Linked DNA regions of Tribolium castaneum. The protein of the gene in region 3 purifies or fractionates together with the protein of the main gene of each other region. This does not show direct contact. Links are inferred from orthologs where the notes say so. Each region holds a gene or a part of one and is shown on either strand. Other genes may lie near its edges. The genes, in order: Ciao1, Mms19 and PolE1.

Evidence for each region.
Region 1: the proteins of PolE1 (region 3) and Ciao1 purify together in Homo sapiens (affinity purification with western blotting; 3 studies listed by BioGRID, with this or other methods). This does not show direct contact. The link is inferred for Tribolium castaneum from reciprocal best matches to the Homo sapiens genes POLE and CIAO1.
Region 2: the proteins of PolE1 (region 3) and Mms19 purify together in Homo sapiens (affinity purification with western blotting; 3 studies listed by BioGRID and IntAct, with this or other methods). This does not show direct contact. The link is inferred for Tribolium castaneum from reciprocal best matches to the Homo sapiens genes POLE and MMS19.

What each region holds. Positions count from the first base shown.
Region 1 is NC_087395.1:25,661,313-25,664,793, forward strand, and holds Ciao1 (probable cytosolic iron-sulfur protein assembly protein Ciao1), read right to left. Parts: upstream 1,995-3,481; 5' UTR 1,849-1,994; coding exon 1,216-1,848; intron 1,170-1,215; coding exon 648-1,169; 3' UTR 634-647; downstream 1-633. Other genes in the region: pkaap (A-kinase anchor protein 10, mitochondrial), read left to right, coding at 2,178-2,205, 2,258-2,341, 2,385-3,481. UniProt on the Homo sapiens protein: Key component of the cytosolic iron-sulfur protein assembly (CIA) complex, a multiprotein complex that mediates the incorporation of iron-sulfur cluster into extramitochondrial Fe/S proteins.
Region 2 is NC_087400.1:4,137,375-4,141,712, reverse strand, and holds the start of Mms19 (MMS19 nucleotide excision repair protein homolog), read left to right. Parts: upstream 1-1,444; 5' UTR 1,445-1,513; coding exon 1,514-1,601; intron 1,602-1,646; coding exon 1,647-1,849; intron 1,850-1,896; coding exon 1,897-2,077; intron 2,078-2,120; coding exon 2,121-2,326; intron 2,327-2,375; coding exon 2,376-2,519; intron 2,520-2,569; coding exon 2,570-3,680; intron 3,681-3,725; coding exon 3,726-3,847; intron 3,848-3,901; coding exon 3,902-4,002; intron 4,003-4,051; coding exon 4,052-4,196; intron 4,197-4,241; coding exon 4,242-4,338. Other genes in the region: GCS1 (mannosyl-oligosaccharide glucosidase), read left to right, coding at 1-1,277. UniProt on the Homo sapiens protein: Key component of the cytosolic iron-sulfur protein assembly (CIA) complex, a multiprotein complex that mediates the incorporation of iron-sulfur cluster into apoproteins specifically involved in DNA metabolism and genomic integrity.
Region 3 is NC_087396.1:21,696,153-21,699,805, reverse strand, and holds part of PolE1 (DNA polymerase epsilon catalytic subunit 1), read left to right. Parts: coding exon 1-140; intron 141-1,629; coding exon 1,630-2,839; intron 2,840-3,653. UniProt on the Homo sapiens protein: Catalytic component of the DNA polymerase epsilon complex. Participates in chromosomal DNA replication.

The DNA.
Region 1 (3,481 bases), on a different chromosome or scaffold from region 3:
TGCGCCCCGCCCCTTGTCTCGGATTTTCCAATGGTTTGATTGGCGCAATGTTTTTAAAAGCGAACGCTGAGGCTAGCCAATCATTAACGCCCCCTTCGACACAATCCCAGCTCGTATGGGGCGAGTAAACCGCAATTTCATGTCTAATACATTGGATTACGATTCGTTCTTTCCAAGTCCTGTGACAAAACGATTAGTTTTGATTGGCTGTGTAATTTGGGGCGTACTTGTCAGAGACTGTTTTAAGGCCTTGAAAGATATTAGGGTGATAGGAGATAATGAGCCCCGCTTGGAAGTTTTTAGCTTCATTGACCACATCCTCAGTGAGGTCGTTTGTTAATAGAATTGTTTTGACCTGTTTGTCGGTCATTGGGTCCACCAGGAGCCCCACATTGTCCCAGCTCTCGGCAAGGGTCAAGGGGGCGTAGGATTGTAAAGTTTTGACGATTTCTTTGACCGACATTTGGGGGCCCGTGCTGTAGTAATTTTTAATCCGACTTAGGGCCGCCAACCGTCTTATTAACATCTGTGGAACGAAAAAGTAATCTCAATGGATGGGCGACAGTAGGCTGTGACGTTCAATTGTAAACAATTGACATAAACAGCCGCCTATCCATCAAAGAAAAACAAAGGAACGTCAAACAATTTTATTCAGGGATAAATTTCCACAATTTAATTTCCCCGTCGTCGCTGCACGACACTAAAATATCACTAAGAAGGGGGTTCCAGGCGACGCAGTTGACATCCTGGGCGTGCGCCCTCTCAATGCAGGTGACTTGGCTAAACGTGGGGGCCTCTAAGTCGCCCCCTTCCTCCTCTTTAAAAATTCTGATAGCGTCGTCACCGCAAGCGGTGGCGATCAAGTCACTTGAGTGGTTCCAAGACACGTCATAGATGGTTCTGTTGTGGTACCCCGACATGGTACACACACATTTCCACGTTTCCTCCGTATTTTGGCCCTTTTGCCAGATTTTCAACGTGGCGTCGTCGCTACACGACACAATCCTTGTCCCCGTTTTGTCCCAACTTATGCTCCAAACCGTTGACTCGTGCCCCTGTAAGGTGGCAAAACAAACCCAGTCGTTGTCTGACTGGTCCTCTTTGAACAACTTAACCGTGTTGTCGTAGGAGGCCGAGGCGAGGATATCGTCATGTGGGTGCCACACGACCTGCAACAACCTCCATAACAACAAAAATCGCCCCCTTGCTACCTACTTTCTTCACATCCTGTGTGTGCGCACTCAACACGGCCGCGCAATCATACTCATCCTCCTCGGCAATCTCCCAAATCCAAACCGACTTGTCACGGCTACAAGTGGCCAAAAATCGCCCCGACTTCGACCAGGAAACACTCTTAACCTCATTTTCGTGCCCCTCAAGAGTGGCATTGCACTCGAACTCGCCCGATTTCTTGTCCCAAATGCACGTAGTGGTGTCAAAGGAGGCCGAGGCGAGGTAATTGCCACAGGGGGACCACGCAATTTCCCGAATTGTGCGTTTGTGGCCATCGGTTAGAATTACTTTATTCGACCACTTCGAGTCCGAGTCTTTCGACCAGATTCGGATGGTCTTGTCTTCGCCACACGAGGCGAACGTTTGCCCCTTCGGGTGCCAACTCACGTCCCAAACGCGCCCCGTGTGCTTGCATAAAGTTTGAAGGGGCTCAAGCTTTGACATTTTGGGGTTAGGGTCGCGAACAACGACAGGGTGGTTAAAAAGTGGTCTCGGGGGACGCACGACGTGCCAAAAGGGGGCAAATGTACTTAAGGGGCTTACCAATGCCACAAAACGTGAAAAAATGGGTGATTTTATTACGTTTTTGCTTCGTTGAGTTGGCCGCACTGTCATTCAATGCAGCCAACGCATGATTATTATTGCGTTTTTTTGCAATTATTTACCAATAAAATTGCGTACTTAAGTGCAAAATCAATTATGTTTCTTCTAAATTAATTGTTCGCTTAATTTTGAATTTTTTTTTCGTGGTTGAATGTGCGATTTTTGTTTTTTTTTGCCGTCGGTGTGGCCAGCCTCATTTGACGTTTACATTTTTTGTGCCGTGAATCACAATCAACTTTGTTTATCAAAACAATCGGTTTTGTGGGTGTTTTGGGGCCTCTTGGCACTGTTGGGTTGATCGGACTCGCCCCCGCCCCCACAACCCATCATTACGATGAACCATGTTACAGTTTTGGAGGAAATCAAAAGGTGCGTAATTTCGTAATTGATGTTTGGGTTTTCCTAATTAGTGTTTCCAAAGCCGGCAATGACACGAAATGCGCAGCCCCAGCGGTGACGCCGCGGCCCCGGCCCCCGAAGCCGCCCCCTCTGGACCTCGATATCGGTGAGTACGAAATTGTAGAAATTGGGGTTATTGTGTCTTAAAGATGAGTTTGAGGCAACGAGGTCACGGCTATGTCGGACCTTGGACGAGGTTTTGGGCGATAAGGGGGCTCTGGGCTACTTTACCCAGTTTATGGAGGCGCGAAACGCCGCCAAATTTATCAATTGTTGGGGGGACATTGAGTCGTTTAAGTGTGAGATAAGTACGGATTGCGACTCCAGTGACACCCAAAATTCGAGTGATTCGTGTGAATCTAGTCTAGTTGAGGGCGCTGTTGCGATTTTTAAAAAGTACATAGCTCAGGAGTCCGCTCACAATGTTAAATGCCCCGAGTCAGTTCGTAACGAACTCGTTGAAAACATTTGTGACTTGGAGAAAATCGCCAGTTGTTTGGACCCCGTTCAGAGTTTCGTTACCGAAGTCATGGAGAAGGAGTATTTTGAGGCGTTTTTAGCCAGCGATTATTTCTGCAAATACCAGATCGATGTTTTGACGAGTGGCCAAGTGGCCCTTGACGATATTCTCTACAACGAAACGGCGCTTTTCTACTTTATGGAGTTTCTCGAACAGGAGAATTCGTGCAATTTGTTGGAGTTCTGGATCGCTGCCACCAACTTGCAGCAACATTTGACCAATCAAAAGGAGTTTTTTGACCCAATTGAGGCCCAAAATGACGCTGTTGTGCTCTACGATAAGTATTTTTCGCTGCAAGCCCATTGTCCGTTGGGTTTCGGCGATAAAGTTCGCTTCGAAATCGAACAAAATATTTGCGGGGAGAACGGACTTGTCTTGGATTGTTTCAAGTTGCCCTTGAAAATCGTCGAACAAGTGTTGGAGAAAAACTATCTCAAACCGTTTTTGGAGTCACAGTTATTTTGCAAATATCTGTCCGAGTTGATAAACACCGTTCAGTCTAACGATTATTTTAATCTCGAGAATAATCGGACGCTTTCGTCCGATTGCAGCAGCGAGAAGAGTTTCAGTACAAATAGCGCATTTCTAGCGTTAGAGTTAAACTTTAATAATAATAATTGTAAAAAGAAGGATAAAAACGCAGATATGAGTATCGACACGAGGCAGTTGTGCGACCCCGATTCGCTCTGGAAGAGGAGACGAACGCACAGATTATCCTGTGGGAGG
Region 2 (4,338 bases), on a different chromosome or scaffold from region 3:
CCAAAGAACCGGTGCACTATTGGCACGCCCCCTTATACACAGCAGTCCCGTCTCGAAGTTTTTTCCCTCGTGGTTTTCTATGGGACGAAGGTTTCCATGGCTTTCTGATCGCAACGTGGGACCTTGACCTTGAACTTGACATTATCAGTCATTGGTTCGATTTGATGAACGTTGAAGGGTGGATCCCCCGTGAACAAATCCTGGGTGTTGAAGCTATAGCGAAAATACCCGAAGAATTTATCGTCCAACGAAATACTAACGCAAATCCGCCGACTTTCTTCCTCACGTTGCAATACATTTTGCGTAAATATTACGATAAGTTGAGCGAGGGACGTTTGGCAACACTGGAACGGTTGTATCCAAGGTTACAGGCGTGGTTTGCATGGTTTAATACCACGCAAAAAGGGGCGGGGCCTGGCATGTACCGGTGGAGGGGGCGTGACGCAACAACCAATCGTGAGCTGAATCCGAAAACTTTAACTTCGGGCCTTGACGATTATCCACGAGCGTCACATCCGACCGAAGCCGAATACCACGTCGATCTATACTGTTGGATCGCCATAGCTAGTGATACTTTAGCAAGGTTGGCAACACTGTTGGACCGTGATGGGTATAAATACGAACAAACTGCCGATTATTTGAAAGACAATTTCCTATTGGATAATTTACATTGGTCTAATTACGCATCGCGTTACGCCGATTATGGTTACCACACTGATTCTGTTAAATTAAAACGACCGAAACCGTTACCAAGGTCACAAAACCAAAACATGGAGATGGTGCGTGTGACCTTGAAAAATCCCGAATACCGATTGGTCGACTCGACTTTCGGTTACGTCAGTTTGTTTCCGTTTTTGTTACAAATGATTGATTCGGATTCGTTGAAATTGGGCCAGATTTTGGATGACCTTCGAAATCCTGACTTGTTATGGACGAAGTTTGGTCTAAGATCACTGTCCAAAAATTCACCCCTGTATATGAAACGCAACACCGAACATGATCCGCCATATTGGAGGGGCCAAATTTGGATAAATATCAATTTTCTAGCAGTCCGGTCCTTGTATTTCTACGCCAATACGGAGGGGCCCTATCGGGATAAAGCCAACGCGATTTATAAAGATTTGCGGGAAAATGTGATTAAAAACGTGATGACGCAATATTTCAAAACGGGTTATCTGTGGGAACAGTATAATGACGAAACGGGGGAGGGGAGTGGCTGTAGGCCTTTTACGGGCTGGACGGCCCTGGTTGTATTACTTATGGGCGAGCAATACTGAGTCAATAAAAATCTAAGTACGGTCCTGTGTTTTATTTAAAAATTAAAAATAAAACCCGCGCTATACGGAAGTTTAAGGGTCGGTTTACAGAAGCGTCATTAACTTAATCTGCAATTAAATGCGTCATTAATTTAATCTGCAATTAAATGCGTAATTTTTTGAAATTTGAAAATGAAGGTTATAGTAGGTTATTTGGGGCATGCGTGGTCAATTATCATCTGTCAAAAAGTTTGGTTATGATGGCTTCGAATTTGGCCAAAAATTTCGAAAATGTTACAATAGATGACCAAGAATTTGCCGAAAAATGCCACGAATTGGCCCAAGGTACGTACAAGTGGCCCCACATTGTGACATAACCTCAACTTTCAGCACTTGAATCGGGTCAAGTGACCTTGTTACGCCTTGTCGAGGACCTAGGGGGGCTCCTTATCGATACGAGCCCCAAGGGGCGCGAGCTGGGCATGTGGGTGTTGACACGTGTCGTCGAGACTTTGCCCCCCGATGTTTTGGACGAAAATCAATTAAAATTTTTAAATCAGTTTTACACGGACCGGCTTAAGGACAATCATTTTGTATGTCAGTCCAGGGGCTACTGTTTTTTAACTGAGGGCGATTTTAGGTGTTACCGGCCGTTTTGCGCGGTTTTCTCGCCTTAATTCGGTGCGAGGGGGCCCCGAAAGGGGGCCCTGGCCCTTTTCTCGTCCAACTCTTCCACAATGTCTCGTGCCAACAACAACAAGAAAACGACAGATTAGCAATTTATCAAATTTTCGAGACTTGTTTGGAGAAATTTTGGCCAGGTTTGGGCCCCCTTTTAAAATTCAATATCAGTCTTTTTTCCAGAATTGGATGAAATGGGGCCCGACTTTGTCTACGGTGTTATTTCGGCGGTTGATGGCGAACGCAGCCCCAAAAACCTGATTTTTCTCTTTGATTGGTTTCCGAAATTTTTACGAAAAGTCAAATTGGGGCACCTGGCTGAGGACGCTTTCGAAATCCTGGCGTGTTATTTCCCTGTTGATTTTAGGGCTCCGCCACAGGACGAAAACGTGCCCACTTTGTCCCCATTAAACGACAATCAATAATAATTTTTTACAGGGCATAACTCGAAATACCCTCGCTGAAAAGCTCGCCTTTTGCCTCGTTGCCGTTCCACAATTTGCCGAATTCTCCCTTCAATTAGCGTTAGAAAAATTCGATTCTTCGCTTGAAATTGCTAAATTGGATTCGTTACGACTTATTGTAAGTGGTTTTTTTTGTAGCGGACCGCAGACTAAACACCAAACTTGTAGGAACTATCATTTGTTACTTTTGATATTTCACCAACCACAGTATGGCCACTCATACAAAAAGAACTGTTCCAAACGACAAATCCAGCAATTGAAAAAGCCTGTTTAACAACAATGACAGCTGTTATTAAGCACACACGTGACCCAAATTTGACAGAAACGGTCAAAGATATCTGCGATACAATCAAAGGAAATTTTTTACCCGACTCAAAATTATTCCAACCGTCGGCACGTTTGATAATCAGTGTTGCCAACGCATCGGACAGCGTTGCCAACCTCGTAGCGCGTGAAACCGTCCCCATATTAACAAACATGTATAATATAGCCAACACAACGGCTGAAAAAACACCATTTTTGCGCCTACTAACCGACTTGTATGCACTTGCCAGCGATTTAGAAAATCTCGGGGAAGTACCGGTTTTACTTGTAAAATCTGACTCACCAATCGCTTTTGATTGTTTACGTGACATTTCGCCGAAACTACCCGAAAAAATCCGACTTTTACTTTACCAAAACTACGTCAAGTTGTTACAAGTGCCACAAGAAGGCGCTGTCTTACAATGTCTTGAAGCTTTAGCACGGGATTACCCGAACGAAGTGGCTACGCACGTGGTCGGTAATACAGAAAACTATACTCCATGTTTTCTAGACGCCTTGTGTGTGACTTTGGCAAATCAAAAATTTTTCACGGCCCATTTAATCGATTTAATTTTGAAAAATTGTGCAATAAAAACATTACAAAAAGTTTTAATCAAATTTGACGATTGTGACGCGATTTTTGACGTTTTAAACGCACAAAATATCACCCATGTGTTGATCGAGATGGCTTTGACTGGTGATACGTGTCACGAAACGATTGCATTTGTTTTGAAAATTGTGATTGGTCGAATGTCGAGCGAAAAACAAAATGAAATGATTCGAAACGAATTAAGTCGAATTAAGATTGAGGATATTTTTTTACTAAGCGGGATCTTGACTTGTTTAAGGCGCGATGTTGTAATTAATTACGAAATTTTAAGCGAATTAATTGAATTTATAATTAGGGAGAGGGATAATTTGAGACGTAACGCAGCTATAGAACTGGTTGCAAATATTTTGAACAAATGTCCCAATGGTAATTTAATTCCGTGTTTTAATTAATTATTACAATTAATTGTAGATGATGTAATTAGGGAATTTTTGGAACGGGTTGACACTAAAACCGACCCCATTCTTACGTCATGGCTCACCAAGGCCTTAATTATGCGTAATCACGAATTAGGCACATTCTGGACCACAAAAGTAGGCAATTAATTGCGTTAGCTCAGTCGTTAATTAATTAATTTTCCGCCTTAGTTAATCGATTATTTGGATAAAGATGAAAGTATAGCTCCGTGTTTTCGCACAATTATGTCCAATTCGGAGTCTTTAAGTACCAAAAGTCATTGCAATGTTGCGTAAGTTGATAATTTAGCACTTAAATAATTTTAATTAAATAACTTGTAGATTTTTGTACCAGCAGAAGTTTTTTACGATAGTTACGAATAAATTAAGTGCGAATTACAGTCCAGACAAGAATTCGTATTTATCAGGCCTTGGATATTTACTAGAGTTCGCACCAAAACCGGCCGTTTTAGTCCAATTTAGAAAAGTAATAATTTCAAATTGAATTTAACCAATTAATTTAATTTTGTAGATTTCGAAATTAATTATTTCGTGTCTTGACCACACCACCAATCATGAGATTCTCATTGTAATTTTGCGATTAATTCGCGATTTTATCACAACTAAGG
Region 3 (3,653 bases):
CGGCACCCAACTAAACCGCAACAAATCTTCGGGTTGTTCTTGACTCCCTTGAAGAAGGCGCTGGTTGTGGTCGTTGATACGGTCAAGACCAACTTGATGCCGAATTTGAACAAGTTGTACCAAGCCGAACGAATGGCAAAGTGAGTACTGGATTTACAAAGTGGCTTATCAGCTCTTTCAAAACTATAAAAATATAAACTATAAAGATTGATAAAAACGCAAAATAGTCATTAATGATTAGTTCTCTCATTGAAACTTTAAACTAGATTTACTAAAAATTTCTAGGGTTAAAACAAAAAAAAACAATCTTCACATTTTTATTTTTATTTAATACACTATCGGACAAAAGTAAGGCAACATTTTGAAAAATATAGAAATTAATGTCTATCTAATGTAAATAAATTATGATCGGGCAAACTATGGTATTGTTAAAAGAATCAAAGGAAGCTACTGTCATTAATGTCAAGTAATTATTTATTAAGGTTGAAAAAAACCGCTTTGTTGACTTGTAGTGTAAAAAAGGATTATTTTAAGACGACAAAAGTAAGGCAACATTTAGATTTTTTTCAAAAAATGTTGTTATAATGAAAAATTTGTTAGGCCAATATTAACAGTTCGTCTTGCGCAACAAGAGCCATGCCAACGGGTACACCAATTGGTAAAGAGTTGAAAGAAAGAGTGATCGATGCTTTCTTAAACAATGAAAAACAAGCGGATATTGCAAGAAGATTTCAACTGCCTAGATACAGCGTGTCTAAAATAATTATTCGCTACAACGAAAGAGGACATTTAAACAATAATCCAAAATCGGGACGACCACGAAAAACCACTATAAACATGGACAGACGCATTAAAAGAATTTCGGAAAACGATCCATGGAAATCTGCATCTAAAATTATAGCGGAAATACCGGAAGTAGGAGTTAGTACACGAACAATTCAAAGAAGACTGGTTGCAGCAAAGCTTTTTAGTAGACGTCGTGCTAAAAAACCTTTGATTTCAGAAAGAAATAGACGCGCCAGACTTCAATTTGCAAGAAAACATTTGAATTAGACAAAGCAAGATTGGAGGAAAGTTCTTTGATAGATAAAATCAAGGAAGTGTGGTCAAATCTGGATGAAAATGTTATTCAAAAATTAATTTCTTCAATGCCCAGACGGTGCCAAAAAATTTTACTTAATAACGGCTATGCCATAAATTATTGAATTTTTCGTTCTATTTATTTAAACTTTAGTGTTGGGTAGTGTTATGTAAATGTTGAATCAAATAAAATTTGAGTTGAAAATATTTTCTGACAATGTTGCCTTACTTTTGTCGCATTAATATCGGGCTTTTTTATATTTCAAGCTAGTAGTATGTCATAATAATTACCCATAGGCTATCCATTTTCAACACGAATAAGAATATCTTTAAACGTTTATTATAAAATTAAATTGAAGGTAAATACCAACTCTTAAAATTTAAAATACCAATATTTGTATATTTTTCAACATGTTGCCTTACTTTTGTCCGATAGTGTATTTTTATTAAATAAAAAATAAACAAAATTAAATACATAAAAAATTTTATTAAATAAAATAAACTTCACATGCCACTGACCGCACTTTGATATTAAATAATGATTCATAGGAAGGAAAAGGGCACCGAGGACGACTCGCTCCCGCCCGCCAGCGTCACGTTCGAAATCCGCGTCGAGAGCGACCTTGGCCAGGTCTACAAAACCCTGCAAAAAGCCCTGCAGTTCTACAAGGACGAAAAGAAAGGTCCAACCCTCCTTGCCGTCCAATCGGCCCTTGAACCGGCAACACTGCGTTCGCGCATCCCCCTATTTTCGGACTTCCCCCAAGTGCAAATCCACATCACCGACGAGGAGGAGCTGTACAACGTGATGGACTGGCAGAAAATTGGCGGCCGTGCCCTCGTCCGCCACTATCTCAACAGCGAAAAAGTGCTCGACTTGATGATCGAGCAAAGTCGGTACTTCCACCTCCCGGTCGGTAACATGCCCCCGGACCCGGCCCTCTTCGGTTCTGATCTCTTCTACGCCCGACACTTAACCAAACACAACCACGTGTTGTGGTGTTCGCCAACCGACAAGCCCGACTTGGGCGGCGTTGAAGAAAACGACTCGCGATTGTTGGCCGAGAACCAGGAGGGTTCGAGCGAGGTGTGCAATGTACCAGGGTGGTACTCGAGCGTTTGCATCGAGTTGGACGTTGATTGCTTGGCGATTAATACGCTCCTGCAGTCGCACCACGTGACTGACATCGAGGGCACTAGCAGCGCTACGGCGTTTGATGGAGTTGGGGCCACCTCATTGGACGATTTAGTCGGAGATAACCCGACGGTTTACGACGAAACGGCGCGGTGTGCCGAAGCGTTTAAGATTTTGCGCACGATGGCCAGTATTTGGATGCGGGATATTTCGCTCTATCAGAACATTTTCGCCGATTTTCAAGTCGTTCATTTCTATCGGTGGTTGCGGGCGCCTAAAGCCCTGCTTTACGATCCGGCTTTGTTGCGGACGTTGCAGAATTTGATGAAGAAGTTGTTCTTGCAGCTCGTGGCCGAGTTTAAGCGGCTGGGGTGTACGATTATTTACGCGAATTTTAACAAGATTGTCATCTGTTCGAAGAAGAAGAGTGTGGAGGACGCGATGGAGAATGTTGAGTTTGTGGTCACGTCGATTAGGAATAAGGAGCTGTTTCATTCGTTGGACATTTCGTTTAGGCAGTGTTGGGAGACTTTGGTGTGGCTGGATCCGGCCAATTATGCGGGGGTTCAGGGGAAGTTGCCGGAGGACCTCAGAGAGGAGGGCAACGAAGAGGAAAAAGGTCAAGTAAGAGGTTTTTGTTGCTGTTTCGTCAGTCCGATTTTTTTATTTTAATTAAAAAAATACTGTTCCCGTCTAGGGAATTTTGTGTCAGTTGGTAACGGTACGTGTATTTCGGAAGTAAAATTACCGTTGGGGGCGCCACTGAGCTAGGTCGAAAACAGTAACCATAAATGGCGGGAAAATGTTTATTCGGATATTTTGAGCGTTGTACGAATTTTGGGGCTTCACAATTATTACATTGCCTATGCGGAATGATTATTGCATCTTTGATGCAAGAAACTTATGTTGATAAATGAGAGATGACGAGGAAAACACGAATAACGAATGACTGTTTGGTTCACTTTCTTTATTGAAAAATTATTACAAAGACATTGAAAAGCCTACCTTTTGGCATAATTTACGTTTAAATATATCAGCAGTTGTTAATCTTTATTGTAGTTTTGTAGATTTACCGCAGCATTTCATGATTTTTTCAGTGGAAAATTCTAACCTAAAATTCATAACACTTCACTAATTTATTGGTTTCTTGAGCCAAACTTTGTGTTCGCTGTGATCCATTACTTATAATCTTTAATTAGACAACTGTTTGATAACACTTTGTAATCAAAATTTAAATTATTTTATCCACTTTCAAGTTCCAACAATAAACACTTTATACCACGAAAAACTACAGAACCAAAGTCAACGTTAGGATTTACCACCACGTACTTTTAAAGTAATTCTTTCTATTGTAAGTAATTAACACTATACACGCAAAATTGTTGAACAATTCATTAAATGTCAGTTAAATGTGGCATTACTAAAATTTCTTTACTGT